7 linked regions of the Macaca mulatta genome follow. Each later gene encodes a partner of the first gene's protein in a complex. Links are inferred from orthologs where the notes say so. Each region holds a gene or a part of one and is shown in the gene's direction. Other genes may lie near its edges. The genes, in order: TAF7, TAF11, GTF2H3, GTF2B, TAF5, TAF9 and TBP.

What was found.
Region 2: TAF7 (region 1) and TAF11 share a complex: the UniProt entries of both Homo sapiens proteins name them as parts of the TFIID basal transcription factor complex. The link is inferred for Macaca mulatta from reciprocal best matches to the Homo sapiens genes TAF7 and TAF11.
Region 3: TAF7 (region 1) and GTF2H3 share a complex: the UniProt entries of both Homo sapiens proteins name them as parts of the TFIID-containing RNA polymerase II pre-initiation complex. The link is inferred for Macaca mulatta from reciprocal best matches to the Homo sapiens genes TAF7 and GTF2H3.
Region 4: TAF7 (region 1) and GTF2B share a complex: the UniProt entries of both Homo sapiens proteins name them as parts of the TFIID-containing RNA polymerase II pre-initiation complex. The link is inferred for Macaca mulatta from reciprocal best matches to the Homo sapiens genes TAF7 and GTF2B.
Region 5: TAF7 (region 1) and TAF5 share a complex: the UniProt entries of both Homo sapiens proteins name them as parts of the TFIID basal transcription factor complex. The link is inferred for Macaca mulatta from reciprocal best matches to the Homo sapiens genes TAF7 and TAF5.
Region 6: TAF7 (region 1) and TAF9 share a complex: the UniProt entries of both Homo sapiens proteins name them as parts of the TFIID basal transcription factor complex. The link is inferred for Macaca mulatta from reciprocal best matches to the Homo sapiens genes TAF7 and TAF9.
Region 7: TAF7 (region 1) and TBP share a complex: the UniProt entries of both Homo sapiens proteins name them as parts of the TFIID-containing RNA polymerase II pre-initiation complex. The link is inferred for Macaca mulatta from reciprocal best matches to the Homo sapiens genes TAF7 and TBP.

What each region holds. Positions count from the first base shown.
Region 1 is NC_133411.1:150,152,934-150,156,936, reverse strand, and holds TAF7 (transcription initiation factor TFIID subunit 7), read left to right. Parts: upstream 1-1,211; 5' UTR 1,212-1,943; coding exon 1,944-2,993; 3' UTR 2,994-3,503; downstream 3,504-4,003. UniProt on the Homo sapiens protein: The TFIID basal transcription factor complex plays a major role in the initiation of RNA polymerase II (Pol II)-dependent transcription.
Region 2 is NC_133409.1:147,388,174-147,392,246, forward strand, and holds the start of TAF11 (transcription initiation factor TFIID subunit 11), read left to right. Parts: upstream 1-1,273; 5' UTR 1,274-1,307; coding exon 1,308-1,478; intron 1,479-4,073. UniProt on the Homo sapiens protein: The TFIID basal transcription factor complex plays a major role in the initiation of RNA polymerase II (Pol II)-dependent transcription.
Region 3 is NC_133416.1:131,085,397-131,088,534, forward strand, and holds the end of GTF2H3 (general transcription factor IIH subunit 3), read left to right. Parts: intron 1-127; coding exon 128-196; intron 197-411; coding exon 412-547; intron 548-665; coding exon 666-702; intron 703-785; coding exon 786-855; 3' UTR 856-2,638; downstream 2,639-3,138. UniProt on the Homo sapiens protein: Component of the general transcription and DNA repair factor IIH (TFIIH) core complex, which is involved in general and transcription-coupled nucleotide excision repair (NER) of damaged DNA and, when complexed to CAK, in RNA transcription by RNA polymerase II.
Region 4 is NC_133406.1:151,712,191-151,716,153, forward strand, and holds the start of GTF2B (transcription initiation factor IIB), read left to right. Parts: upstream 1-1,163; 5' UTR 1,164-1,214; coding exon 1,215-1,231; intron 1,232-3,963. UniProt on the Homo sapiens protein: General transcription factor that plays a role in transcription initiation by RNA polymerase II (Pol II). Involved in the pre-initiation complex (PIC) formation and Pol II recruitment at promoter DNA.
Region 5 is NC_133414.1:115,518,789-115,522,288, forward strand, and holds part of TAF5 (transcription initiation factor TFIID subunit 5), read left to right. Parts: intron 1-3,208; coding exon 3,209-3,446; intron 3,447-3,500. UniProt on the Homo sapiens protein: The TFIID basal transcription factor complex plays a major role in the initiation of RNA polymerase II (Pol II)-dependent transcription.
Region 6 is NC_133411.1:77,439,702-77,443,558, reverse strand, and holds TAF9 (transcription initiation factor TFIID subunit 9), read left to right. Parts: upstream 1-1,244; 5' UTR 1,245-1,245; coding exon of another isoform or gene 1,246-1,338; intron 1,339-2,386; 5' UTR 2,387-2,403; coding exon 2,404-3,198; 3' UTR 3,199-3,357; downstream 3,358-3,857. Other genes in the region: AK6 (adenylate kinase isoenzyme 6), read left to right, coding at 1,246-1,338. UniProt on the Homo sapiens protein: The TFIID basal transcription factor complex plays a major role in the initiation of RNA polymerase II (Pol II)-dependent transcription.
Region 7 is NC_133409.1:1,494,713-1,498,661, reverse strand, and holds the start of TBP (TATA-box-binding protein), read left to right. Parts: upstream 1-1,149; 5' UTR 1,150-1,244; intron 1,245-3,486; 5' UTR 3,487-3,509; intron 3,510-3,640; exon of another isoform or gene 3,641-3,643; 5' UTR 3,644-3,791; coding exon 3,792-3,845; intron 3,846-3,949. Other genes in the region: PSMB1 (proteasome subunit beta type-1), read right to left, coding at 1-52. UniProt on the Homo sapiens protein: The TFIID basal transcription factor complex plays a major role in the initiation of RNA polymerase II (Pol II)-dependent transcription.

The sequences.
Region 1 (4,003 bases):
CAGATATTTTAAAAATAAATGGAAATAAATAGAAATAAGTACCAACTGTTACCCAGTTATGTCAAAATACTAAAAATATGTGTTGATGAATACCTGACCCTCCAAAGAAAAGACAAGCACAAAACAGCAAAATAGTAGAGGTGGAGTTAAAAAAAAAGTCAAAGTATTTAAAATTACTTGTACATGAGAAGCAGGAAACAATACTTCAATTATGTCTACTTTAACCAGATGCTCAGTCTATCAGACAATTCTGTCCAAAATGAACCTGTGCTTGCAGAAGAACACTTCCTTCTCTGCTTACATTTACATCTAAATCAAGCATATAAAAAGGAATCACCCTTGTTTCCTCAGGAGTATTACAGAACAGAAGGAAACCCAGAGGCACAATTCCCCTACAGGGAATTATATTAAACAAAATATAGACTTTGGGCCAGGCACGGTGGCTCACACCTATAATCCCAGTACTTTGGGAGGCCAAGACAGGCAAATCACCTCAGGTCAGGAGTTGGAGACCAGCCTGGCCAACATGGTGAAACCCCTTCTCTACTAAAAATACCAAACTTAGCTGGGGTAGTGGAAGGTGCCTGTAATCCCAGCTACTCAAGAGGCTGAGGCAGGAGAATCGCTTGAACCCTGGAGGTGCAGATTGCAGTGAGCCAATATTGTGCCACTACACTCAAGCCTGGGTGACAGCCTAGACTCCATTTCCAAAACAAACAAACAAACAAACAAAGAGAGGTTTAGAATTATATAGTGAGCTCCATGTCCTCCTCACTCCACTGATTTGGGTTCTTTAAAATCCATTGTATAGTAGCTACACATTCTTGTATTGGCACCAGATTGGCTAGACCCTAGGAAGCATCCGAGATGTTTCCAGAAGCAAAGACGCTTACTGCCAGGCGTCCCCCATCTCCCGGAATCACCCGGAAGTCTAGAAGCCATCCGGCCCCACAGCGATCCCTTAAAAGTGCTGGCTTAGCGGGGGACGAATCCGTGTCTTTCTTGTAACTTCCAAGCGCTAAATAGTTTGAAACCAACAGCTCTTCGAAAACACTATCATTTTCATCCCAGAAAAGCAAGTTCTCGCGAAAAGACGAGTTTCACGCTGGGCAGCGTAATTGCGCTATTGCGCCTGCGCGCGCCGGGGCTCCGCCCTTCCGGCCGGAGGGGCTGTCACTCACATCCACCTCCCGCCCCGCGTCGTGACGTAGCACTTCCGTTTTCTCTGGGCAAGCGGTCGAACGGAGGGCCGGCGAGGTGCCGGGTCTGGTTCTCCGAGCTGCGCCTCTCGGCAAGATTTCGCGTTGCCCATCCTGGGCTTTCATCAGTAATCGATAGTGGATCACTCTGCCAAGCGGCAGGAAGAATTAAGGAAACGACAAGGAGACGCTTGGCTGCCTCCCGCTTTGCTCCTTGCGGCCTCCTCTTCCCTTCGCTCCGGCCCGGTGAAACTGAACTTATAATCGTCACTGGATTGTAAGTACCCGAGGCGAAGAGAGCTCACTGAGCCCTGATGTTTTGAGTGTCTGTTCCGGGAGAGTTTGTAAATTGAGAGTATCTCTGCTGGCCTTTCTGGGCCGAAAACCGTTCCGCGGGAGCCGCCATTTGCTTTCCTGCTTCTTAGCTAGGTAGCTGTCTCCGCGTTGTCGGGCAGCGGCACCTAGAGGTTGGGACTTGGCATTGCATCTGATTTAATGAACTTAAGTCTGTGAATAAGCCTTTGTGTTAACGACTGGTATTTGGTCACAGCATATTTAGAGAAAAGACTTGGAGCTTAAATAAAAACGAAGGCAAAATAGACGCTAAGCTGCTGATCTACAGAGAACTTCTTGTAATTAAAATATTTCAATTCATAGCGAACTGGTGTTTTAAACTATTGCAGTAGCTGGAACTTTTTACGGTAACCATCATTTATTGGAGAAGTGAGTCACAAAGAAATAAAAATGAGTAAAAGCAAAGATGATGCTCCTCACGAACTGGAGAGCCAGTTTATCTTACGTCTGCCTCCAGAATATGCCTCTACTGTGAGAAGAGCAGTACAGTCTGGTCATGTCAACCTCAAGGACAGACTGACAATTGAGTTACATCCTGATGGGCGTCATGGAATCGTCAGAGTGGACCGTGTTCCATTGGCCTCAAAATTGGTAGACCTGCCCTGTGTTATGGAAAGCTTGAAAACCATTGATAAGAAAACCTTTTACAAGACAGCTGATATCTGTCAGATGCTTGTATCCACAGTTGATGGTGATCTCTATCCACCTGTGGAGGAGCCAGTTGCTAGCACTGATCCTAAAGCAAGCAAGAAAAAGGATAAGGACAAAGAGAAAAAGTTTATCTGGAACCACGGAATTACTCTGCCTCTGAAGAATGTCAGGAAGAGAAGGTTCCGGAAGACAGCAAAGAAGAAATATATTGAATCTCCAGATGTGGAAAAAGAAGTGAAACGATTGCTGAGTACAGATGCTGAAGCTGTTAGTACTCGGTGGGAAATAATTGCTGAAGATGAAACAAAGGAGGCAGAAAATCAAGGCCTGGATATCTCTTCTCCAGGAATGTCTGGTCACAGGCAGGGCCATGACTCATTAGAACATGATGAGCTTCGGGAGATATTCAATGACCTCAGCAGCAGCAGTGAGGATGAAGATGAGACCCAGCATCAAGATGAAGAAGATATAAACATCATTGACACTGAGGAAGATCTGGAGAGACAACTACAGGACAAGCTAAATGAATCAGATGAACAGCACCAGGAAAATGAGGGAACCAATCAGCTGGTTATGGGAATTCAGAAGCAGATTGACAACATGAAAGGCAAGCTCCAAGAGACCCAGGACAGGGCAAAACGACAAGAGGATCTCATCATGAAAGTGGAAAATCTGGCTCTCAAGAACAGATTTCAGGCTGTACTGGATGAGCTCAAACAAAAGGAAGACCGAGAAAAGGAGCAACTCAGCTCTTTGCAAGAAGAGCTAGAATCACTCCTAGAGAAGTAAAAAGAACTGATTCTTAATTTCAGTGTTCAGACTGATCAGCATTAGAAAATTCTTGGCTTTATTACTTGTACTGGATATTAACACCTTGCACTTCCTAGTCCCTCTAATGCTGTGTGTTCTGTTAAGTTCTTTCATTTGTTTATAGTTTTGTTTTTCAGCAAATTTACATTGTTTTGCTAGGTGTTCATCCTATAAGAAGCAGGATTGTATAGGCAGAAAAATGATAGTAGGAAAGTTGCAGGATTAGTGGAATGTATGGTTCAACCTTAATTATAGCTCCACTGCAGGACTTTGCTGTTTCTCCATTTTCTAGAAGCTGCTGTTGCTGCCTTATGATGACATGAGATCAATAAGAAGAACCTAGTCTAGAGACAGTGATGCTAGTTTGCATATGTTTTCCCATGCAATAGCTGTTTTCCCAGTTACTCAAAGCAGTTTCCCATATGTAGAGATGCAAATTTTATTAAGTTGTTTACAATACAATAAATAAAAGCATCTGTTTTTCACTTTGTAGTGTATCTTGTTCTTTCATGGTTGGTGGGAGTCAGGTCCCTTTTGAGGTGGTTTCGTGGTGGAGTTTAGTGACTAAGAAATTTGATCCAGTTCTGCAGGTAGAGGCAGTTTGGTTTATGAAAAAAAGCAACACAGCAGGGGTAAAGAAATTGGGAATTGTCATGTTTGCATCATATTAAGATTCCAGTTCTATCTGATCTACTTGAAAGCTGGGAAACATTAGATACAGAGCTTTCTTAAACTACCCTAATTTTTGTAGATGAAGGCCTTTGTGCCTTTTTTAAAAAGCTTACTAAATCTACCTGCACAAAATGTTGGAAACAAAGCAGTGGTTATCAAGTGCAGTCCAATGAATCATTCCATTGGTTTGGATTAAGATTTTATTTCTATTTTTCTTCAGTTGAGTTCTTATAATTAATAATCTGAGAACTGAGGTCATTTATCAATGTCATTTCATCAAAATTGCTCATAAAGTAAGTCGGTACCAAATTTCTCAT
Region 2 (4,073 bases), on another chromosome or scaffold:
CGTCACTTCCGGGATCCGGCGTCACGCGTCACCGCGCCCCCGCGCCCCGCCCCCTAGCTCACCTAGCTGGGCGGGGCTCCGCGGACCAGCGCAGGTGGATTTTGCTGTGCCGAGACAGGCCTCACGGGTTATGGGGACAGCGCCTTGTGGGTCCCCATTATATAGGTGGAAAGGGACAAACAGGCCCACCTGTACGCGCCTCCCGAAGTGCGCTCCTTCCCTAAACGTTTTGGGAGCTCCTGGGACAGGAAATACGGCAATTCGTCCAGGCAGCGCAGAAACAAAGAGATAAATATGGTAACGCGCACCTACATTTCCAAGGACATTCTTTAAGCACGCATAAATTAAATATGTAATAGGTGCTGGGACCTAGTCATACCCAGGTGAATAAAACGCCCTCCCCCTCGTATCTCTATGAGGGAAGAGAAGAAAATTTTAAAATAGAAATATCCTCACCACTTCATCCTCCCAGTACATGAACTAGTTCGTTAAAGTGAAACGTTCGAAGGAGACACCTTCCTCTCTTTAGGCTTTCCTCTTAGTTTTGGTAAGATTAACCAAAATGATAGAAAAGTGTCAGACTTGTAGAAACAAACCTCAATCTTGAATACTTGCGAACTGAAAAAAAATCATTTAATTGGATAGAAACTATGTGTGTTTTGTTCCCTGGTACTAGCACTGTTTCTAAATCGAAGTACGCAGTCAATAGTTGTGGATGAATAAATGAATTGGATAAATTCTGCTCAAGCTAGATGACTTTTTGTTGTTAAGGTGCTTGCTGAATGGAGCGGAAATGCTAGCAATTCCACGTACACACAGACCCGCGGTTTCGGGCCAGTTGAAATACACAAGGTTGAGTCTTGCCTGAAAGTTTACCAATCCCGGGTAGCCTCATTCCACGACACCGCCATACAACGGAACTGAGTTTTCTCCCGATCCCCCAACTTTACTCTGAGGGGTTAACGAAGGGATTAACTGGTATTGAATTTTTAGACAGGCGAAAAGGAAAAAGTTATTTAGTAAACAAAACTGCGCTCCTTCACAAGTGCTGGTTTCCTAGCTAGGAGGATCCATAGTCTGAGCTCTTTACGTCCAATTTTCCCGCTTCCCACTGTCGCCAAACCAAAGTTAAAATGAGTCCTCTAGTCCTCTACGCGCGCCTCAAAATGACCCCTCAGGAGAGCGGTAGGGGTGATGTCATCGCTGCGCGACGACAGGAAGTAAGATACTGTCCTGTGCAGCTCGGGGTTCCGAGCTTCTGCCTCAGACATCGCCGCGATCTCCTCTCCCCTCCAATCCTATCCGTGATGGACGATGCCCGCGAGTCGCCCTCCGACAAAGGTGGAGAGACAGGGGAGTCGGATGAGACGGCCGCTGCGTCCGGGGACCCGGGGGCTACCGACACGGATGGAATCCCAGAGGAAACTGACGGAGACGCAGATGCGGACTTGAAAGAAGCTGCAGCGGAGGAAGGCGAGGTAGGAAGAGATGTATCGATGAGGCTGAAGGAATACCCAGAGATCGTGTTACTGGGTGCTTGCCGGGCTTCTGGTTAGTCCCTCCCAAGTTACGAGAACTCGAACTCACCAGAACTCCCTCCAGATCGTTAATCTTGAGGGGGAAGAGAGCGGACGACCAAACAGAACTCCAGTGCTGGTTCCGTTCCAGAGGCTCAAGCACTGCGTTAATATTTTTAGTCTTGTCAAGGGATTAAAGCTACTTCTAAGGGAGTTTTAATAGCCTATTGGCTTTAGTGGTGAGGAAACTGGGATCCAGTGTCACACTGAGACGCAGTGCAAGAGCTAAAACCCAGGATTCGTAGCACCCCTTTCACCGCAATATGGTTCGTCTTAGATGTTAAGACAACTTTGTTTCTTTATAGGAAGGAGGGTCGATCAAACCTGTCAAAGGGAGATAGACTTTTATAAAAGTGTCGCCCGGGCTGTAGTACAATGGCGCGATCTCTGGCTCACTGCAACCTCCGCCTCCCGGGTTCACGCGATTCTCTTGCTTCAGCCTCCCAAGTAGCTGGGATTACAGGCTCACACCACCATGCCCGGCTATTTTTTGTATTTTTATTAGAGACGGGGTTTTACCATGTTGGCCAGGCTGGTCTCGAACCCCTGACCTCGTGATCCGTCCGCCTCGGCCTCCCAAAGTGCTGGGATTACAGGCGTGAGCCACAGCACCCGGTGATCAGGGACCCATCAGTTGGGTCTGGTGTTTTTATGCTACAGAGAGTTCAGCAGTGTTGCCTAGCTGAACATTGGTCAGGACCAGAAACTCATCGTTCTCTGGATTACATTTCTGGAAGTAGAATCTTGGGGTCTTAGAGCTAGAAGGGATTTAAGAGATCGTGGGGTGAACAGTAGATTAGATGGAAATAGCCTTTCAGTGTATAAAGTTGCATAAAAATGTATAAAGTAAGAACTTTTAGAAAAAGAGAAAATTTGGCCGGGTGCAGTGGCTCACGCCTGTAATCTTTGGGAGGCGGAGGTGGGTGGATCGCCTGAGGTCAGGAGATCCCCAATATGGGGAAACCCTGTCTCTACTAAAAATACAAAAATTAGCTGGGCATGGTGGCAGGCGCCTGTAATCCCGGCTACTTAGGAGGCTGAGGCACAAGAATCGCTTGAACCTGGGAGGCAGAGGTTGCAGTGAGCCGAGATCGCACCACTGCACACCAGCTTGGGTGCCAGAGTGAAACTCCGTCTCGAAAAAAAGAAAAAGAGAACATTTGACAAAAGTATTTTAAGGCAGGTTTCTTTTTTTGTTTTTGTTTTTGTTTTTGAGACTGAGTACTCGCTCTGTCACCCAGGCTGGAATGTGCAGTGGCGCGATCTCGGCTCACTGCAAGCTCCTTTAAGGCAGTTTTTGTTGGTTTGTTGAGACAAGGTCTCACTCTGTCACCCAGCCTGGAGTGCAGTGGCACAGTCTCTGCCTCCTGGGCTCAAGCAACCCTCTTATCTCAGCGTCCGCAGTAACTGGGATTGCAAGCATACTGCACCACGCTCAGCTGAAGTTTTTGTATTGTTTTGTTTTGTTTTGTTTCGTTTTTGAGACGGAGTCTCGTTCTGTTGCCCAGGCTGGAGTGCAATGGCGCAATCTCGGCCTACTGCAACCTCCGCCTCCCAGGCTCAAGTGATTCTCCTGCCTCAGCCTCCCCAGTAACTGGGATTACAGGCACGTGCCACTGTGCCCAGCTAATTTTTGTATTTTTAGTAGAGCCAAGGTTTCACCAAGTTGCCCAGGCTGGTCTTGAACTCCTGACCTCATGATCCATCTGCCTCAGCCTCCCAAAGTTCTGGGATTATAGGCATGAGCCACCGCACCTGGCCAGCTAAAGGTTTTTTAAATATTGTTTTGGTAGAGACAAGGTCTCATTATATTGCCCAGTCTGGTCTCCAACTCACTGGGCTGAAGTAATCCTTCCGCCTCAGCCTCCCAAAGTGCTAAGATTACAGGTGGGAGCCACCATGCCTGGCCAAGAAGGAAACTTTAAAACAGGTGTCAAGGACAGCAAGGATTTGAATAATTAGCTTGGTACACTAGAGAGCTCACTACATATATAAATTTGCACCGAACAGAGGATAAAATTATGTTGTTTCTGAAACACTTTTAAAAATCAATCATGTACTAGACCATGAAGAAAAATATGAATTCTTAAAAGATATCATAACAGGCCACATCTTGTTAATGCAATGCATTAAACTTGAAATTAACTACAAAAAGCTTCTCCCCCACCAAAAAAGAACCCCCTGGAAATTTTAAACTACTTTTTAAATAGCCTTTAGACTAAAGAAATTAACAGAACACTTTATCAAATGATATGGGATTTGGCCAAAGCTTTATTTAAAGAAAAATGTATAGCCTTACATATTTTTATTAACAACCAGAAGATACTGCAAATAAGCACCTGACTCAAGAGACCAGATAAAGGGCCTAGTGGAGTGGGTCACACCTACAGACCTAGCTACCTGGCAGGCTGACACAGGAGGATCGCTTGAGGCTGCAGTGAGCTATGATCCAGCCTGGGCAACAGAGTGAGTCTGGGGAAAAAACAAACAAACAAA
Region 3 (3,138 bases), on another chromosome or scaffold:
AATAATAATTTGCGGTGTCATATCCTCCTCTGATTTTGTAGACCTGAGGCATTGCTGGTGAGAATCCCATTCCTCTGGAAACCCTAGGTAAGTGTGAGTTTGGCAGCAAGCCCTCTGTGTCTTGCAGGCTTGTGACATCACGGGAGGACTGTACCTGAAGGTGCCTCAGATGCCCTCCCTTCTGCAGTATTTGCTGGTAAGGAGACAGCAGTGGTGACCCTGATGCCTGTAGGGAAGGATGACCTCTGTGTCCTGGGAAAGGAATGGAAGCAGGATGGCTGGTGCTAGTACTCGGGAGAAAGCAATAAATGCAGGCGTTGGGGTTCCAAGGCCTAGAAGGGTGGGGCTTCACGTTATTTTTTTCCCATTTTTTAAATAAAAGTTTCTTTTGTTTGTTTGTTTGTTTTACAGTGGGTGTTTCTTCCCGATCAAGATCAGAGATCTCAGTTAATCCTCCCACCCCCAGTTCATGTTGACTACAGGGCTGCTTGCTTCTGTCATCGAAATCTCATTGAAATTGGTTATGTCTGTTCTGTGTGTTTGTCAAGTAAGTTCATGTACCTAGTTTTTCTTTTTTTTCTATGTTTGGGGGCAGGAAAACAGTTTCTCAACTGCATTGTTTTTTCAGCCACCCCATTGTTTCTTTTTTTTTTTTTAATTTACAGTATTCTGCAATTTCAGCCCCATTTGCACTACGTGCGAGTAAGTATCTTTGAGATTGTGTGGGTGGCTGATACTTCACAGCTCTAGAATATTGAAAAATGTTTTCCTCTCTGTAATTTCAGGACAGCCTTTAAGATTTCTCTGCCTCCAGTACTGAAAGCCAAGAAAAAGAAACTGAAAGTGTCTGCCTGAGGATAAAATACTTTCTCCATCTTTTAGAGCTGTTAATAGAAATTACATAGCAGATTCTTTGTTGGGAAGACTAAAAAAAATAAAGATAGATATAGGATAATTTTTAATGTAGTGACCTTACAGAAAATATTTCCCAAACATTCTTTTTATCCTGTGCTTCCGGAGGACTGATTTGTTTGAGGGAGCCATTCTATGCAATATATCCTAAAATATTCTGTGACTGGTTGCTGTCCAGAAAGGGGCAAGAAAGCACATGTTTGTGGCTTTCTTTTTTTTAACGGGATGACTGTTAGTCAAAGTCAGCTTGTCATGATTGATCATAGGCTTTCTAACCTACTACCTGAATCCAGGTCCTCGTTGTGAAATGCATGGCATGGGAAATTTGAACGTAGCTTTGTAAAAGGACTATTTGTAGAGTAATGGCATTAATCAACACAGAACGTCTTATTTGAATCAACAGTTACCTGTGATCGTCATGTAAATAAAATTCTTGTTGTTTAAATTGAGATAGCCTCAGATATTTGCAGATATTTACTTTTTGTCTGATATCAGTACATATTTGGACAAAGTCGTCTAAACAATAGTTTGTCACCAAATAACTACAAAATCTCATTTTAAATGAGTAAGGAGAACATGTGAAGTAGCAAATTTTCTTCAAAATAGTTGTGGGAAGAGCTTATATGTGAAAGCTTATGACTGGTTTTGAGGGAGAACTTACTGGGGAAAATGGACTCTGCTAAGTATGGTTTTCAGATAGAATTCTTTCCTTTTTTAATGGGGGAAAAATCCACATTAATATTGAAACTGCACCTGTAATCCCAGCACTTTGGGAGGCTGAGGCCAGAGGATTGCTTGAGCCCAGGAGTTCGAGAGCAGCCTGGGCAACCAAGTGAGAAGACCCCATCTCTACGAAAAGTTTAAGTATATTTATAGAAACTGTTCTCTAGAAACTTTGGACTGAATCCCGAAAATGTTTATAAGTTCAAAAGCAAAACTATTTGTAATTTCAACAACAAAAAGTGTATTTTTCTATGTAATCTTGAAATTATTAAAAGTCCTTTTAGTTTCTAGCACATATTTGTACAAAGACTTTAAGGAATGGTGGCTGAGTTATTTTGTTTTTTTTTAAATGTTTACTGACAAGGCCGGGCATGGTAGCTCACCCCTGTAATCCTAGCACTTTGGGAGGCCAAGGCGGGCAGATCACAAGGTCAGGTGTTCGAGACCAGCCTGGCCAGTATGGTGAACCTCTGTCTCTACTAAAAATACAAAAATTAGCCAGGCAAGGTAGCAGCCACCTGTAGTTCCAGCTACTCGGGAGGCTGAGGCAGGAGAATTGCTTGAACCCGCGAGGCAGAGGTTGCAGTGAGCCAAGATAGTGCCTCTGCACTCCAGCCTGGGTGACAGAGCGAGACTTTGTATCAAAAAAGAAAGGCTGGGCACCGTGGCTCACGCCTGTAATCCCAGCTAGGAGGCCGAGGTGGGCGGATCAGGAGGTCAGGAGATTGAGACCATCCTGGCTAACACGGTGAAACCCCGTCTCTACTAAAAATACAAAAAAAAATCAGCTGGGCGTGGTGGCGGGCGCCTGTAGTCCCAGCTACTTGGAGGCTGAGGCAGGAGAATGGCGTGAACCCGGGAGGTGGAGCTTGCAGAGATCTGAGATTGTGCCACTGCACTCCAGCCTGGGCGACAGAAGGAGACTCCGTCTCAACCAAAAAAAAAAGAAAAAAACCAGCCTGACTAACATGATGAAACCCCTTCTCTACTAAAAATACAAAAATTAGCCGGGCGTGGTGACACGTGCCTGTACAAATCCCAGCTACTCAGGAGGCTGAGGCAGGAGAATCGCTTGAACCTTGGAGGCAGAGGTTGCAGTGAGCCGAGATCGAGCTACTGCACTCCAGCCTGGGCGACAGAGGGAGACTCCATCTCAAAAGAAACAAACAAAAAAGTGTACTTACAGCCAGGCGCCTTGGCTCACGCCTGTAATCCCAGCACTTTGAGAGGCCAAGGCGGGCGGATCACCTGAAGTCAGGAGTTTGAGACCATCCTGCCCAACATGGTGAAACCCTGTCTCTACTAAAAATACAAAAATTAGCTGGGTGTGGTGGCAGGTGCGTGCAATCCCAGCTACTCGGGAGGCTGAGGCAGGAGAATCCCTTGAACCCAGGAGGCAGAGGTTGCAGTGAACCAAGATCAAGATCACGCCATTGCACTCTATCCTGGGCGACAAGAACGAAACTCTGTCTCAAAAAAAAAAAAAAAAATGTGTACTGACAA
Region 4 (3,963 bases), on another chromosome or scaffold:
AAGCAACCAATCAGACATTTGCATAGGAGTGTAACTTTGTAACTTCTCTTTAGCCTCTGATTGGTTGCTTTTCACAACCAATCAGACTGATTGTGGAGTCACTACTTCATTTACATAGGGTGTACACCAAGTAACCGATGGGAAACCTCTAGAGGATATTTAAACCCCAGAAAATTCTGTAAAGGTAGTCTTGAGCTCCTCTGCCCTGGTCGCTGCCGCTCTGTGGCGTGTACTTTCGTTTTCAATCTGCCTTTGTTGCTTCATTCGTTCCTTGCTTTGTGCGTTTTGTCCAGTTCTTTGTTCAAAACGTCAAGAACCTGAACACCCTCCACCAGTGTTATTGTTGTTAGTAGTAGTGGTATTACTATTTTGACGTTAATTTGGCTAATCTAGGGATATTTTGCATTATCTAGATGTTCTGCCAAGTTTTCTATACGTAGCTATCAGCCAAATTTGCAAAGGCCATGAAAAAAAAAAATGATCAGAGTATGACCCATATCGTCGTGCCTCTCATGCACACATTGGTCTCACGTAATTTTGTTTCATCTCCTGCCAATTCTAAAAGGGTATGCAAGGCAAGATACTATAACCTATATAAACCTACATACCCTGTATCAAAACGACGTGCCTAAGAAGATAACATGCTAGTTGATGACAGAGCCTGAAGAGACACCTGTTCTGGATGACCTAAGTGAATTTCTCTTTTTATTTTGAATTCCTTAGAAAGAATCACCCTTGGGGCACGTAAGAACCGGCTCAAATGGGAGTGCCTGAAGCCGGGTGGGGTACTGGGGCCGGGGGGTGGCGGTGAGAAGGTGGGAGAGGAAGGGGTGGTTAGACTTTTAGGGATGCAGGCTTTGGCACCACTACGAAGCCAGGGTTTTCTTCGTGTTTTAACTCTGTCAGATTGAGAGTAGCTCTGTTGTAGCCCCTTTGCAGGGTTCCCATGAGACTCTTCCTAGGCAGTTACGTTGACTCGCTTAGCAACATAGCAAATTACAGAAACGGAATAAAAACGTAAGAAATCTCAAAGCGCGTGACGTATGGGATCTCACTGTTCTTGGCCCTTCTCCCGACCCGTAGCCCCGCTCTGTTACGACTGCGTGGGTGAGTCGTCTATAAAAACTCATCTCTGCGCGTCTCTTCGCCACACTCGTTTCCTGTTTTCGGCGGATCTGTTGTGGCTTGTTGCGGGCACCGCAGTGGCCCTGAAGATGGCGTCTACCAGCCGGTTAGTATGTCCGGCCCAGCCCGGCGAGCTGAGGGGCGGGCGCGAGCGCCGCGGGCTTTCAGGCGGCCTCCGGGCAGCCTAGTCGGACTAAGCACCGAGGGGTATGGGAGAGAAGCGGCGGGACTGGCCGACCGGCCGGGACAAAGGCACTTCCAGACGGCAGGACTGTCAGGGTGTCGGAGGGGTTACCCAGCTGTTGACGTTATTGCTTCGGAGTCTTATGTCGTCTTCTCATGTAGACATCACCCTTTGTGGGTCCTGGTGGGCTTCTGTGTCCCTAGCCCTTGTCCTCGTCTTTTCTGAATATTTCAACCTCCCTTTATTTTCTTCTCCTTCTACCTCCGCCCCTCCCCCAGCTTGTTGTTTTCGTCTACGGCCCAAACAACCCGAGGTCCGTAATTTCTCCTTTTCAAAGGAACGGGAAATAGTTGGTTCCGGGTCCCTATCGATCTGACAGCTAGGAAGTTGGGAACGTCAGCATTGGTAAGCCAGATGGAACCAGGTTACCATCACAGCGGGCCTCGAAAGTGGAAGTTAGAGCCATCGGAAGAGTTGATTAGTTCCATGCTAAAGGATTTGTTTACAAATATCGTTGCCTGTGTCCTTCTGAAGAAAATCTTGCATAAGAAATTTAGTTATGTGTGCTGGGAGGTTGCTCTTCAGTATATATTTAAAAATGCAATGTACTCATATCTACAGGAAATGCATGCAGTACCCTCAGAGACAGCCTTTAATCTTGTGACCTGAAAAATGCTTGCAGACCCTAATTATATCTCTCATTACCACTATGAGGTAGATATTAGTATTTTTGCGTAAGTGTAAACTGAGTCATGCCAATGTTGACTTTACCAAGGATAGTGTTAGAGTGTAGAGTCTAAGATAACCTGTTTCTTGTTATCCACACCTGGCCTTTGGTTAACTAATGCTGTGTTAAAAGTATCAAATTAATTCTACAGGTTCTGGAACTCTGGCACCATTTTTCTGACCCTATCAGCTGTGAAATTGGTTAATTTCACAGTGAAAGCCATTTTTACAAAATAGCCTTTTCTGGTAACTGCCAAGACTTACATTTTATGGTTAGAAGAAAAGAATTTGGGGTGGGATGCGCTTTAGCTAATGTACTGTTTGAACAGAACTTATAAAGCCAGTGACACTCTTGTTTACTGATTCTGATTCTTGGATTGGATGCTCATTCTGTCTGGGTGGTGGTCTGTCAGGTGAGGCCTCCTTGTAGGTAAATAGAAAACTTTGGCTTCCCAAATCACTCAAATATGACTTAAATTCTGTCATGGCTTTTTAAGTCTGAATTTTTTTCTAGATATGTGCAATTTATGTATCATGGCAGTTATTGCTCAAGTTTTTCTATCAGTGACAAAGTTAAATGTAGAATTTTTTATTTTTTGGAACAGGCCTGGGCTGAAGTGCAAGTGGCACAATCATGGCTCACTGCAGCCATGACCTCCCCAGTTCAGGTGATCCTCCCACCTCAGCCTCCTGAGTAGCTGGGACCATAGGTGCACACTAATTTTTTTAGTGTGCCTGGCTAATTTTTTTATTTTTTAATTTTATTACTTTTTATTTTTGTAGAGACAAGGCCTAGTTACATTGCCCAGGCTGGGCCCGAACTCCTGGGCCCAAACAGTCCTCCGACTTTGGCCTGCCAAAGTGCTGTGGTAACAGGTATGAGCCACTATGCCCAGCCTAAATATATTATTTCTATCTTTTGCATGTTTTTCCCTCAGGAAGATGTATTGTTGCTAGGCCGTGAAACTGGCTGGTGACCTCACAGAAGAATACAAATATTTTGAGTTCAAATGTAAGCTTCGCCACTTACTAGTTCCATGACTTCAGGCAAATCATTCTGTGAGCATAATCTTTTAAAATGGGAAATAGGCCTTTCTTGCAGGATTGCTGTGGAGATTGACAATAATGAATGTGTAACACCAGCAATACAGTGCATACCCAATAAATGATAGCTCTAAAATGGGGTTTGGGATTATCTGGTACTTTAGATGTTTTAATGTCAGTGGTGGTGGTTTCCCTATTCCTCCCCATTGTTTCTCTCTGTTACCACCTGCGCCACCCCATTTGTATGGTTCCTCTTTTGTATTGTGGGTAATTTGGTTAAAAGTTTACTAATTTAGCATACTTTTATTTTGATAGGTAACACATACAAATGGTCCAAAAGCAAAATTACAATAGACTAAAACCATGAAAAGTAGGCTCTCAAGTCTCCCCAGATCAGCCATAGTTACTAGTCTTTTGGTGTTTTCCTCGTGCTTATGATTTAACAAGTGTATACAAATAGTTCTAACCTCTCTTCTCCCCAAAAGTGACCTGATTTAAACTCCATTCACTACCTTGCTTTTACCTTTTTTTAATGACATTAGCACGCAGATTTTAAAAGTGGGCAGCTCAGTCACAAAGTGAGCACATACATGGCTACTACCCAGGTAAGGAAATCAGATACCACTAGCACTAGCTAAGACACTAGCAAAGTCTCTGTCCTCAGTCATTCCCCCTCCCTTGAGAAAACCGCATCCTGATTTCTAACACCATCAATTTGTTTTGCCTGCTTTGAAGTTGGCATAAATGGCATATGTATTCTGCTGTCTAGCTTCTGTCAGTATTTTGAGGTTCATCCATGTTACAGTGTATGGCTAGTTTATACTTTTCAGCTTTGTATAGATTTTCTACCTTACTCCTCACTCTTCATATCTTTCAGATGTTTC
Region 5 (3,500 bases), on another chromosome or scaffold:
CACGTGAGGCACTTGTAATATGTATATGTAAAATGTTTGGTATGGATAAGTTTATGCCTCTGTATGTGTTCCTGACACCTGAGCCACTGCTTTCTCACAGCAACTGTTGCCACAAATCCATGCAGTAAAACTCATATACAATATAAGGTCTCAGAGGTGATCCTGAGCTGACAATAAATGTTTATTGAATTATCCAGTGCAGAGCTTTTAGCCAAATTAATCTGTATGAGGCCTAATCTTTGCAGCATTGCCAGAAATGAAGTATGAATACATAGCATTGTATTCATATCTCATTTTAATCCATAAATAGAAATGTGTGCAGATGTGGATTGAAGGCCGGGCACGGTGGCTCACGCCTGTAGTCCCAGCACTTTGGGAGGCCAAGGCAGGTGGATCACTTGAGGTCAGGAGTTCAAGACCAGCCTGGCCAACATGGTGAAACCCCGTCTCTACTAAAAATACAAAAAAATTAGCTGGGCGTGGTGGCATGTGCCGTTGTCCCAGCTGCTCGGGAGGCTGAGGCAGGCGAACCACTTTAACCCAGGAGGCAGAAGTTGCAGTGAGCCAAGATAGCGCCATTGCGCTCCGGCCTGGGCAACAGAGCAAAATTCCGTCTTTACAAAAAAAAAAAAAAAAAAGTGTTTGAGAGGAATCTTTTTTTAATGTTGAATTTTGTGAATGAACTATAAGATGAATTATATTGTTGGTTATTTTGCTGTAATCTCTTATCTCTTCAGAAACTTGACCTAATTATAGATCATAACTGAGAAATCAGTAAGGAGGAAAAGAGGCCATCAGAGTAACCGAAGAAATTATCACATTTGTGCAGTAAAGAGCGAAGTGTACTATAATGGCAACTTACAAATATTTCCAACAACCAAATTCTGATTTAATTGACAGATGTATTGTTAGGTGGTGCTGTGTTACAAATAAATAGTTATGTTTTCTGTTTTGAAATGCTGGTTATGGAAATTGTTTTAAGCATATAACTATCTTTTTTTTTTTTTTTTTTTTTTGAGACAGAGTCTCGCTCTGCCGCCCAGGCTGGAGTGCAGTGGCGTGATCTTGGCTCACTGCAAGCTCCGCCTCCCGGGTTCACGCCATTCTCCTGCCTCAGCCTCCCAAGTAGCTGGGACTACAGGCGCCCGCCACCTCGCCCGGCTAGTTTTTTTGTATTTTTTAGTAGAGACGGGGTTTCACTGTGTCAGCCAGGATGGTCTCGATCTCCTGACCTCGTGATCCGCCCGTCTCGGCCTCCCAAAGTGCTGGGATTACAGGCTTGAGCCACCGCTCCCGGCCGCATATAACTATCTTTTGAAGATATAAATAGGGCATGGTCCTTCCCACCCTTAAGTGGTTACATTTTATAAGGGGTAAGAGATGTATATAATGTGAAGGGAACACAGGATGGGATATGTTACAGGAATGTTACACAGTGCTTGGGTGGCTCAGAGAACTGGGAATGTTACTGCAGTGCATGGCTTGGTGGTAATGGGTGCCATTTGAACAGAGCGTTGAGAGAAAGTTAATGTAGTTGTTTGATTTGCACATACCATCTTTTATACAATTTGTCTTTAACATAAGGTAGTTCCAGGAGGAATATTGACTCTTCTTCTTATTGTTTTTTTTTGTTTTTGAGACGGAGTCTTGCTCTGTCACCAGGCTGGAGTGCAGTGGCGCGATCTTGGCTCACTGCAACCTCTGCCTCCTGGGTTCAAGTGATTCTTGTGCCTTAGCCTCCCGAGTAGCTGGGATTACAGGCACGCGCCATCACACCCAGCTAATTTTTGTATTTTTAGTAGAGATAGGGTTTCACCATGTTGGCCAGGCTGGTCTTGAACTTCTGAGCTTGTGATCCGCCTGCCTCAGTCTCACAAAATGCTGGGCCACCGTGATGGCCTGTTATTGTTATCTTAAGATATGGATGTGCTGACAGGTTTCGGTTTGGGTGACTGAAACAAGTGAAAAAAATTCCATTAAAAGATTATGGCTGGGCGCGGTGGCTCATACTTGGTTTTTTTTTTTTTTGAGATGGAGTCTCGGAGTCTCGCTCTGTTGCCCAGGCTGGCGTGCAGTGGCGTGATCTTGGCTCACTGCAACCTCCGCCTCCCGGGTTCACGCCACTCGCCTGCCTCAGCCTCCCGAGTAGCTGGGACTACAGGCACCCACTACCATGCCCGGCTAATTTTTTGTATTTTTAGTAGAGATGGGGTTTCACCGTGTTAGCCGGGATGGCCTCGATCTCCTGACCTCGTGATCTGCCTGCCTCGGCCTCCCAAAATGCTGGGATTACAGGCATGAGCCACTGTGCCCGGCGGCTCATACTTGTAATCCCAGCACTTTGGGAGGCGAGTGGATCACCTCTGGTCAGGAGTTCAAGACCAGCCTGGCCAACATGGTGAAACCCCCCCTCTACTAAAAATACAAAAATTAGGGGGCATAGTGGTGCATGCCCGTAATCCCAGGCATGCACCACCATGCCCTGGGAATTAGTTAGGGACTGGAACAGTAGGCAGGTTCTATTGTTAAAGTGAAGGCATTGAAAAAAAGAATAGGCTGGTTCTTGGGCCATGTTGAAGATCTTTGTTTACCCTGAGAGCAGTAGGGAGTTGTATTGGGTAGGATTACTCAGGAGGCTGAGGCAGGAGAATTGCTTGAACCCGAGATGCGGAGGTTGCAGTGAGCCAAGATCGTGCCATTGCATTACAGCCTGGACGACAAGAGTTGAAACTCCATCTCAAAAAGAAAGAAAAAAAAAAAGACTGTGTGGGCCAGGTGCGGTGCCTCATGCCTGTAATTCCAGCACTTTGGGAGGCCGAGGTGGGAGGATCACAAGGTCAAGAGATCGAGACCATCCTGGCAAACATGGTGAAACCCTGTCTCTACTAAAAATGCAAAAATTAGCTGGGCATGGCGCATGCCTGTAGTTCCAGCTACTTGGGAGGCTGAGGCAAGAGACTCACCTGCGAGGCGGAGGTTGCAGTGAGCTGAGATCTCCATACTGCACTCCATCCTGGTGACAGAGCGAGACTCCCTCTCAGAAAAAAAAAAAAAAAAAAGATTATGTGATTGTGTTGAGGAAGAGACGTTGGGAAGAAAGAGACAACAATCTGAGCAACAACTCACCTCTGGGCCTTAACAAAACAGCCATAGTCACATGGTCATAATAGGTCATTTTCTTAAAAGTTGTTTTTTGTTTTTTAAACAGTTGGAAGTGTTGCTGTGGAAGACCAGCCAGATGTCAGTGCTGTGTTGTCGGCCTACAGCCAACAAGGAGATCCCACAATGTATGAAGAATACTATAGTGGACTGAAACACTTCATTGAATGTTCCCTGGACTGCCATCGGGCAGAGTTATCCCAACTCTTTTATCCTTTGTTTGTGCACATGTACTTGGAGCTAGTCTACAATCAACATGAGAATGAAGCAAAGTCATTCTTTGAGAAGTATGTACATTTTTACATATATATATACACACATAGTGTGTGTGCACGTGCATA
Region 6 (3,857 bases), about 73 Mb from region 1:
GAGGCCAAGGCGGGCGGATCACGAGGTCAGGAGATCGAGGCCATCCTGGCTAACACGGTGAAACCCCGTCTCTACTAAAAAATACAAAAAACTAGCCGGGCGAGGTGGCGGCGCCTGTAGTCCCAGCTACTCGGGAGGCTGAGGCAGGAGAATGGCGTAAACCCGGGAGGCGGAGCTTGCAGTGAGCTGAGATCCGGCCACCGCACTCCAGCCTGGGCGACAGAGCCAGACTCCGTCTCAAAAAAAAAATAAAAAATAAATAAAAAGAAGAAAAAGGTAAATAAATTATTGTAATTGATTCGAGGTGGCTAATTTTTTTTTTTTTTTTTTGGAGACGGAGTCTCTGTCACCACGCTGGAGTGCTGTGGCGCGTCCTTGGCTCACTGCATCCTCCAACCACCCGGTTCAAGGGATTCTTCTGCCTCAGCCTCCTGAGTAGCCGGGATTACTGGCATGTGCCACCACGCCTGGCTAATTTTTGTATTTTCATAGAGATGGAGTTTCACTATGTCGGCCAGGATGGTCTCGATCTCCTGACCTCATGATCTTCCCGCCTCGGCCTCCCAAAGTGCAGTGATTACAGGCATGAGCCACTGCGCCCAGCACGAGGTGGCTAATTTTATTCTGAGTAGTTCCATGGTAGCAGCAGGCAGTTTGAATTGGCGTCAGAATTTGCTGAGCCCCACCCCTGGAGAATCAATACACTGAGTAATATTCTGACATTCAATTAGCTTTGGAAAATTTTTATTAGATCGTAGTACATGCTGATTTACATATGGCCAGGCATGGTGGCTCACGCCTGTAATCCCAGCACTTTAGGAGGCCTAGGCGGGCAGATGACATGAGATTAGGAGTTTGAGACCAGCCTGGCCAATATGGTGAAACCCTGTCTCTACTAAAAATACAAAAATTAGCTGGGCATGGTGGTAGGCACCTGTAATTCCAGCTACTCAGGAGACTGAGGCAGGAGACTCGCTTGATCCTGGGAGGTGGAGATTGCAGTGAGCCAAGATCGCGCCACTGCACTCCAGCCTGGGTGACAAGAGCGAAATTCCGTCTCAAAAAAAAAATTTTTTTTACATGTTATTGCTAATTAGAAATTTTTCATTTCAGTCGTCAAGATCTTTAAGGGCAGAGGCCAGGTGAGACTCTGCCTCAGAAATAAAAAAAGGAAGGGCACAAGGTGGGCTGCAGTGTGATAAGTAGTATTTCACAAACAGTATTTTTCTGTGGCTTGTCTTACAGGTACACCAGGGGTTGGAAAAACTACACTAGGCAAAGAACTTGCGTCAAAATCGGGACTGAAATACATTAATGTTGGTGATTTAGCTCGAGAAGGTAAGGGACACTTTGGTGTTAGATTTGTTTTGTTTTGTTTTGTTTTAAGTCTGATAGTGGAGTGTTAGTGCTGGGTATTGTCAGAAGGTACAAAAAACAGATTGCCATTAAAGAATATATACTCTTGCCTGTAATCCCAGCACTTTGGGAGGCTGAGACGGGCGGATCACGAGGTCAGGAGATCGAGACCATCCTGGCTAACACAATGAAACCCCGTCTCTACTAAAAATACAAAAAAATTAGCCGGGCGAGGTGGCGGGCGCCTGTAGTCCCAGCTACTCGGGAGGCTGAGGCAGGAGAATGGCGTAAACCCGGGAGGCGGAGCTTGCAGTGAGCCGAGATGGCGCCACTGCACTCCAGCCTGGGTGACAGAGCGAGACTCCGTCTCAAAAAAAAAAAAAAAAAAATATATATATATATATATAGTCTTTTAGGGAATCCACAGAAATATTAAGTGTCTAATGCTATGTCCTGGTTATTTTGAGCATTTTCCCTTCCTCCTTGAAAATGGCTAGCAATTCTTGTGAATAGTTGGGAAGGCTCCTATGAAGAGACTGGATTTCGGAGAGGTAGAATGTGAATAAGGAGAGTGTTTTCAAGTTGAGCAAACAAAGGTTTGGTACTGCTGAACATATATATGAGCACAGTGAGTGTATTGGTCTCACTGGAAAGAGATTGTTTTGAGCTCAGGTGTAGGACATGACTATGCTATGGTATCTTAGTGTGAGGTTTGCATGCAACTGCATATATTCTAAGATGATAGATGTTTTTATTTATTTTACCCTGTTTTCCCCTAATCTTTTATCACTCCCTTATTTGTGTCTTCATCTTTTTATAGTTGACAATGATTTGTACATGGTAGGAACTCAATAAATTAAAGGGATTTTAAGTATGCCTCATTAAAATTAAGAAAACATATGGTTTAAATTTAAAAAATTTTTTTACAGTTTAACATAGATTAAAAAATTTTTTAAGTTCCTGACAGTTGCTACTAAAGTAACTATTTCAGATTGATCTAATGTACATATTTTTTTCAAATGATCTAAAGTCTGATCATCGGATATCATGGAGTCTGGCAAGATGGCTTCTCCCAAGAGCATGCCGAAAGATGCACAGATGATGGCACAAATCCTGAAGGATATGGGGATTACAGAATATGAGCCAAGAGTTATAAATCAGATGTTGGAGTTTGCCTTCCGATATGTGACCACAATTCTAGATGATGCAAAAATTTATTCAAGCCATGCTAAGAAAGCTACCGTTGATGCAGATGATGTGCGATTGGCAATCCAGTGCCGCGCTGACCAGTCTTTTACCTCTCCTCCCCCAAGAGATTTTTTATTAGATATCGCAAGGCAAAGAAATCAAACCCCTTTGCCACTGATCAAGCCATATTCAGGTCCTAGGTTGCCACCTGATAGATACTGCTTAACAGCTCCAAACTATAGGCTGAAATCTTTACAGAAAAAGGCATCAACTTCTGCGGGAAGAATAACAGTCCCGCGGTTAAGTGTTGGTTCAGTTACTAGCAGACCAAGTACTCCCACACTAGGCACACCAACCCCACAGACCATGTCTGTTTCAACTAAAGTAGGGACTCCCATGTCCCTCACAGGTCAAAGGTTTACAGTACAGATGCCTACTTCGCAGTCTCCAGCTGTAAAAGCTTCAATTCCTGCAACCTCAGCAGTTCAGAATGTTCTGATTAATCCATCATTAATTGGGTCCAAAAACATTCTTATTACCACTAATATGGTGTCATCACAAAATGCTGCCAATGAATCATCAAATGCATTGAAAAGAAAACGTGAAGATGATGATGATGACGATGATGATGATGATGACTATGATAATTTGTAATCTAGCTTTGCTGCATGTAACATGTATACTTGGTCTTGAATTCATTGTACTGATATTAAACATGCATGCTGGATGTTTTCAAGTTGTGTTTTAGAAAACTTTAATAATAATTAATGAGTAAATACAGTTACCATACTTTTCAATTGAAATGAAGGTTTTTCATCAGCCTTAAAAGTGTAAGAAAAATAAAGTTGTCATTCATTACTTTGATTGTTGGTGCTTTGGCAGTTATGTTTTTAAAAGCAATTTTCTCCCTGTTGTCACCAAGGGGAGTAACAGTTGACAGTTGCAGCAACTTGCAGTACTGTAGTCTATTGTTGACCACTAGAATGTCACCTCAAGTGTCTTCAGATATATAGATCACAGTATGATCTCTGGTGTATGTCACTCTTGTGATCTGTTCTCTCAGTTGCTGAAGTATAACCATGACTCCTCTTTGGAGAGACTAGTTGGTCAGGATTTTTATTCATAGTGAATTCTTAACCTGCTTTGATTATCTTCCTCAATTGTCCAACTTCCTAGGTCCCATTTTTCTGTCCCTTTGGTTATATTAAGGACCCTTAGTGTCTCCCAGTATGTCTCCACTTTTTTAAAAAAAATTTATCAGTGTCTCTTTTTGCAGGTTAATTTTGAGCATCTTTGTTTTTCATATTCCTGAT
Region 7 (3,949 bases), on another chromosome or scaffold:
CCATCCCCAAGTCTCTGCCAGGAGCCGAATACATGGCTACGGAGGACAACATCGCACGGCTGCGCCTGCAGCTCCAGCTCCGACACCTGCTGTCTCACGGCGAGATGGCTGCCTTGACCGGACGTTACGCCACTTCCGGCTTCTCCTGAAGTTCGCTCCCGGCCTCTCTATCTTGCGCTAGTCGTTGCTCCTGGAGGGCTGCAGGGCGGCCTGTCCCTTTGGTAGTTGGGTCCCGCCCATTCCAAAAAAGCTGACAGAAAAGTAAAGGTTTCCCGCCCCCCGTCGAAGAAAACATTGGAATTCACCCCAATGGACGAAAATTTAAGTCTGACCATACAAAAACATTGGCAGAACTATGGCGCAACGCCAACTCGAATAACGGTGAGCGCGTTAATTGTCCTGGCTAATAAAAAATGTATATAACATTTCCTATCCTTAAAGAGCTCACAACCTCACTGATAATAAAGAGTACAAAGAAAACGAGCAGTATAACATGTGACTACGCCACAATGAACTACAGAAGGGAAAATCAGTTCCCACTAAGTTCTAGTCCCACTAAGAAACAACTGCGGATAGAGCCTTGTGACCACAGTGCATGAAACGGGAGTGGCAGAACTGAATATAAATGCGTGTGTAAACACAAGCCGTTTGTTTTGCTTAGTGTTCCTTGTCATTCTACACCCTTGAAGATCAGCTAGCGTTCTTGCACAGGTAAGGAGCACGCGCTTACTGAGTGCCAAGTACTGTCAGTCTCTGTCAATCTCCCGACAGCCCAACGGTAAGCACTATTATCACTATTCAATTTTACAGAAGAAACTGCGGGGGAGAGGTCAGGTAACTTGCCAAAGGTAACACCGCTAGTTGCTTTAAACCACCACCACAACAACAAAACACACACACATATAACCATTTAAAAATCGATCTGTCCTATGTCCAGCAAGGGCCAATTAGAGACGGCTGTGGCACGGCGGCCCCGCCCCGGAACTCCTCAAGAGCTTCGCCCCTCCTTACCTTAAGCTCCGCGCCTATGGAAACACAGGAAGTGACCTATGCCCACACTTCCCAGGGCCTCGGCCCTAGTGGGAGCAACTCGCTGAAGCCGAGGGCAGAGCTGGCGGAAGTGACATTATCAACGCGCGCCAGGAGTTCAGTGAGGTCAGGCAGGTTCGCTGTGGCGGGCGCCTGGGCCGCCGGCTGTGAAACTTCGTTTCCTCTGGCCCATGGTCATCTTTGCAGTGACCCAGGTAACAGCTTGTACTCTTTTCTGAGGGTTCGGGCGGAGGCGACCACTGCATTGAGGCCTGGGGACAATGGTGGGGAAGAGAAGAGGAATTGGCGCGCGTGCAGGCCCCGCGGGGGACGTTCCTCCCTCTCGTGCTGCCGCCGTTCCGGCCTGTAACGGCCGCTCGGCCGCCGCTCCCGCCTGGTGCCCTACTCTGCTGTGTGTCGCCAGCGGCTTCCCATCGTACGATTGTGGGGCGCAGGGTACTACTGACGGGGCGGCGGCGGGCGGGACAGGACAGTCCCTTGCATCGAAGACCTGAAGTTTACCCTGCCCTGTCCTGCCACCGCTTCTTCTCCATGTTAGAAGGCAGATTCACCCTGGTCTGTGCCCGCCTGTTTTGCTACCAACATTGAGACTTAAGTATTTTGTCAGAATCCTGAGACAGCGGGCACGGTAGCGCTTAAGATATAATACACACCATTTATTTACGGGGCCTCCCATCTCTCGGTCAGGCCATCATGGTTTTCCAAATCTCTAGGTAGGCTTTTCTGTGAAAAGACTGTGCTTCATTTAGTTATACAGACACTAGAAGGCTATGCAGAATTAATTTGATTGCCTCCAAAAAATACCGGATTTGATGTTTCAATTTCCAAGAGCTGAAGATACCCAGCAAACAACTCTTTTCTGAGATAAATTAGTGCAGTAATCACCGTACGGTTTCTTCTGTAGACTTACTTGCAAAAAGTGGCCTGAAGCCACCGCAGGTCCTGGATAAATAAATCTCTAGTCCTACTTACAATGGGTTTAAATCCTGCCGTCATTATCTCTTGCCTCACCCTTAGATCCCTGAAGCGGAACTTCCAGCCTCTAGTTTTACTCCTCTCAAATTCGTCTAGTCTTGCCAAATTAGATCTATTCATACTGCACTTCCAAAATTCCATAACTGTTATTATTGCCTATGCAGTAACATTTAAAACTCCTGATAGTATGAGCCCACCAATATGTGCTATTTCATCTGCAGTGACCTTCTATACAGTCATACTAAGCTTGTCGCCTGCATTCTGCATCTTTTTTCAATCTGTTATCTCTTTCTGCTTGATTTCTCTTTTGTCTGAAGCCCTGTTTTGTAAATTCCTACTCACCTTGTGAGACCCAAGTTAGATGGTCCCTGCTTTGTGAAAACACTGCCCTCTCTTCATAGTAATTGGCTGTTAGTCTTTATTGTCTTCTCTTCCAGGGGTGTATATGGGCTCATTCATGATCACATACTGCATTCCAGGCATAGTGCTAGATGCAGAGATCACAAAGACATGTAGACTTTCAAGACTTAGCTTAGGCCATACCTGCTACTATAATACTATGTTTTACAGTAATTATTTGCATACCCTTCATATTGAACACTTTGATGCCAGGGACTACATCTTCCTATCTTTATATCCTCATCTGCAGCACTTTTGTTATTATAGGATAACTGTCAAAAAAAAAAAAAAAGCATAATTTAAAAAATGTCTTTGATACATTTATTTCCAGAAGCACAGCTTGCTTTCTTTTTTGGTCTGTTTTTCAGTGATGAGTATATAGCATAGATAGTTTTTGGGGGCCTTTGCCCTTTCAAAGTGATCGTCAGAGTCTTTCATATATTCAGCAAATATGTGAGTGTCTACTTTGTACCAGCACATGCTTGAAGTGCATATGCCTGAAGGGTCTTTGGACATATAATTTGTAACTTTGAGACCTCTAAGTTCCATGTGAGAATATGTTATTATAAACTCATTTCAGATGTATAGTGAGTAAAGTGATGACGATTTAAGAATAGTCAGATAAAACGCACAGTTTGCACTATTGTGTTCTAAAGAGGTAAGGTTATTACGTTTATAAAAATTCAGAGCTTTATCTTTGTGCAGCTTTTTTTTTATAGTTTCATTACAGTAGGAGCTTGATAAATGATCACTCTGAAGTATATTGGATTGAATTTAATAGTTACTTAATTTTTTGCCCAAGACATTGTAGAGGATGTAAAATTGGGATATTTAAAGATCTGAACTTTGCCTAACAGTGCTGTGTATACAGTGCTTAATAAATATCCTACTCTGATATTACAGTTTCTTTTGGAATTAGTTTTCTGTAGGTGTTTTTCCTCAAAAGTTTTTAATGCTGGTTATGACAGCTTAATTTTGAGCATTATCTGAGTATTTAAACGTGTAACAAAATGATTTTTGTTTTGTTGGCGATTTTACATGCAATCACCGGAAACCTGGAAGGAATAAGACTTTGGGATTATAAGGTAAAAACAAATGTACTCCAGAATAGCTTCATTGGTTTTCATGTTTGTGTTTTGTATAGCCATGGAACTGGCTTATAGGACTGTATAGGTTACCTGGATCCTTAAATTAAACTTCAGACTTTTTTCCAAAGCAGCATCACTGTTTCTTGGTGTCTGAAGATAACCCAAGGAATTGAGGAAGTTGCTGAGAAGAGTGTGCCTGAGATGCTCTAGGAAAAAACTGAATGGTGAGACGAGTTCCAGCCCAAGGGTTTCTGGTTTGCCAAGAAGAAAGTGAACATCATGGATCAGAACAACAGCCTGCCACCTTACGCTCAGGGCTTGGCCTCCCCTCAGGTAATACAGCAGGAGGGAGAGAATAGGGAGGGCGGAAATCTGAACGGCAAGAGATGGTATCAAAAGGCAAGGAAGGGCATTTAATGATCTGTTTTTGAAAATGA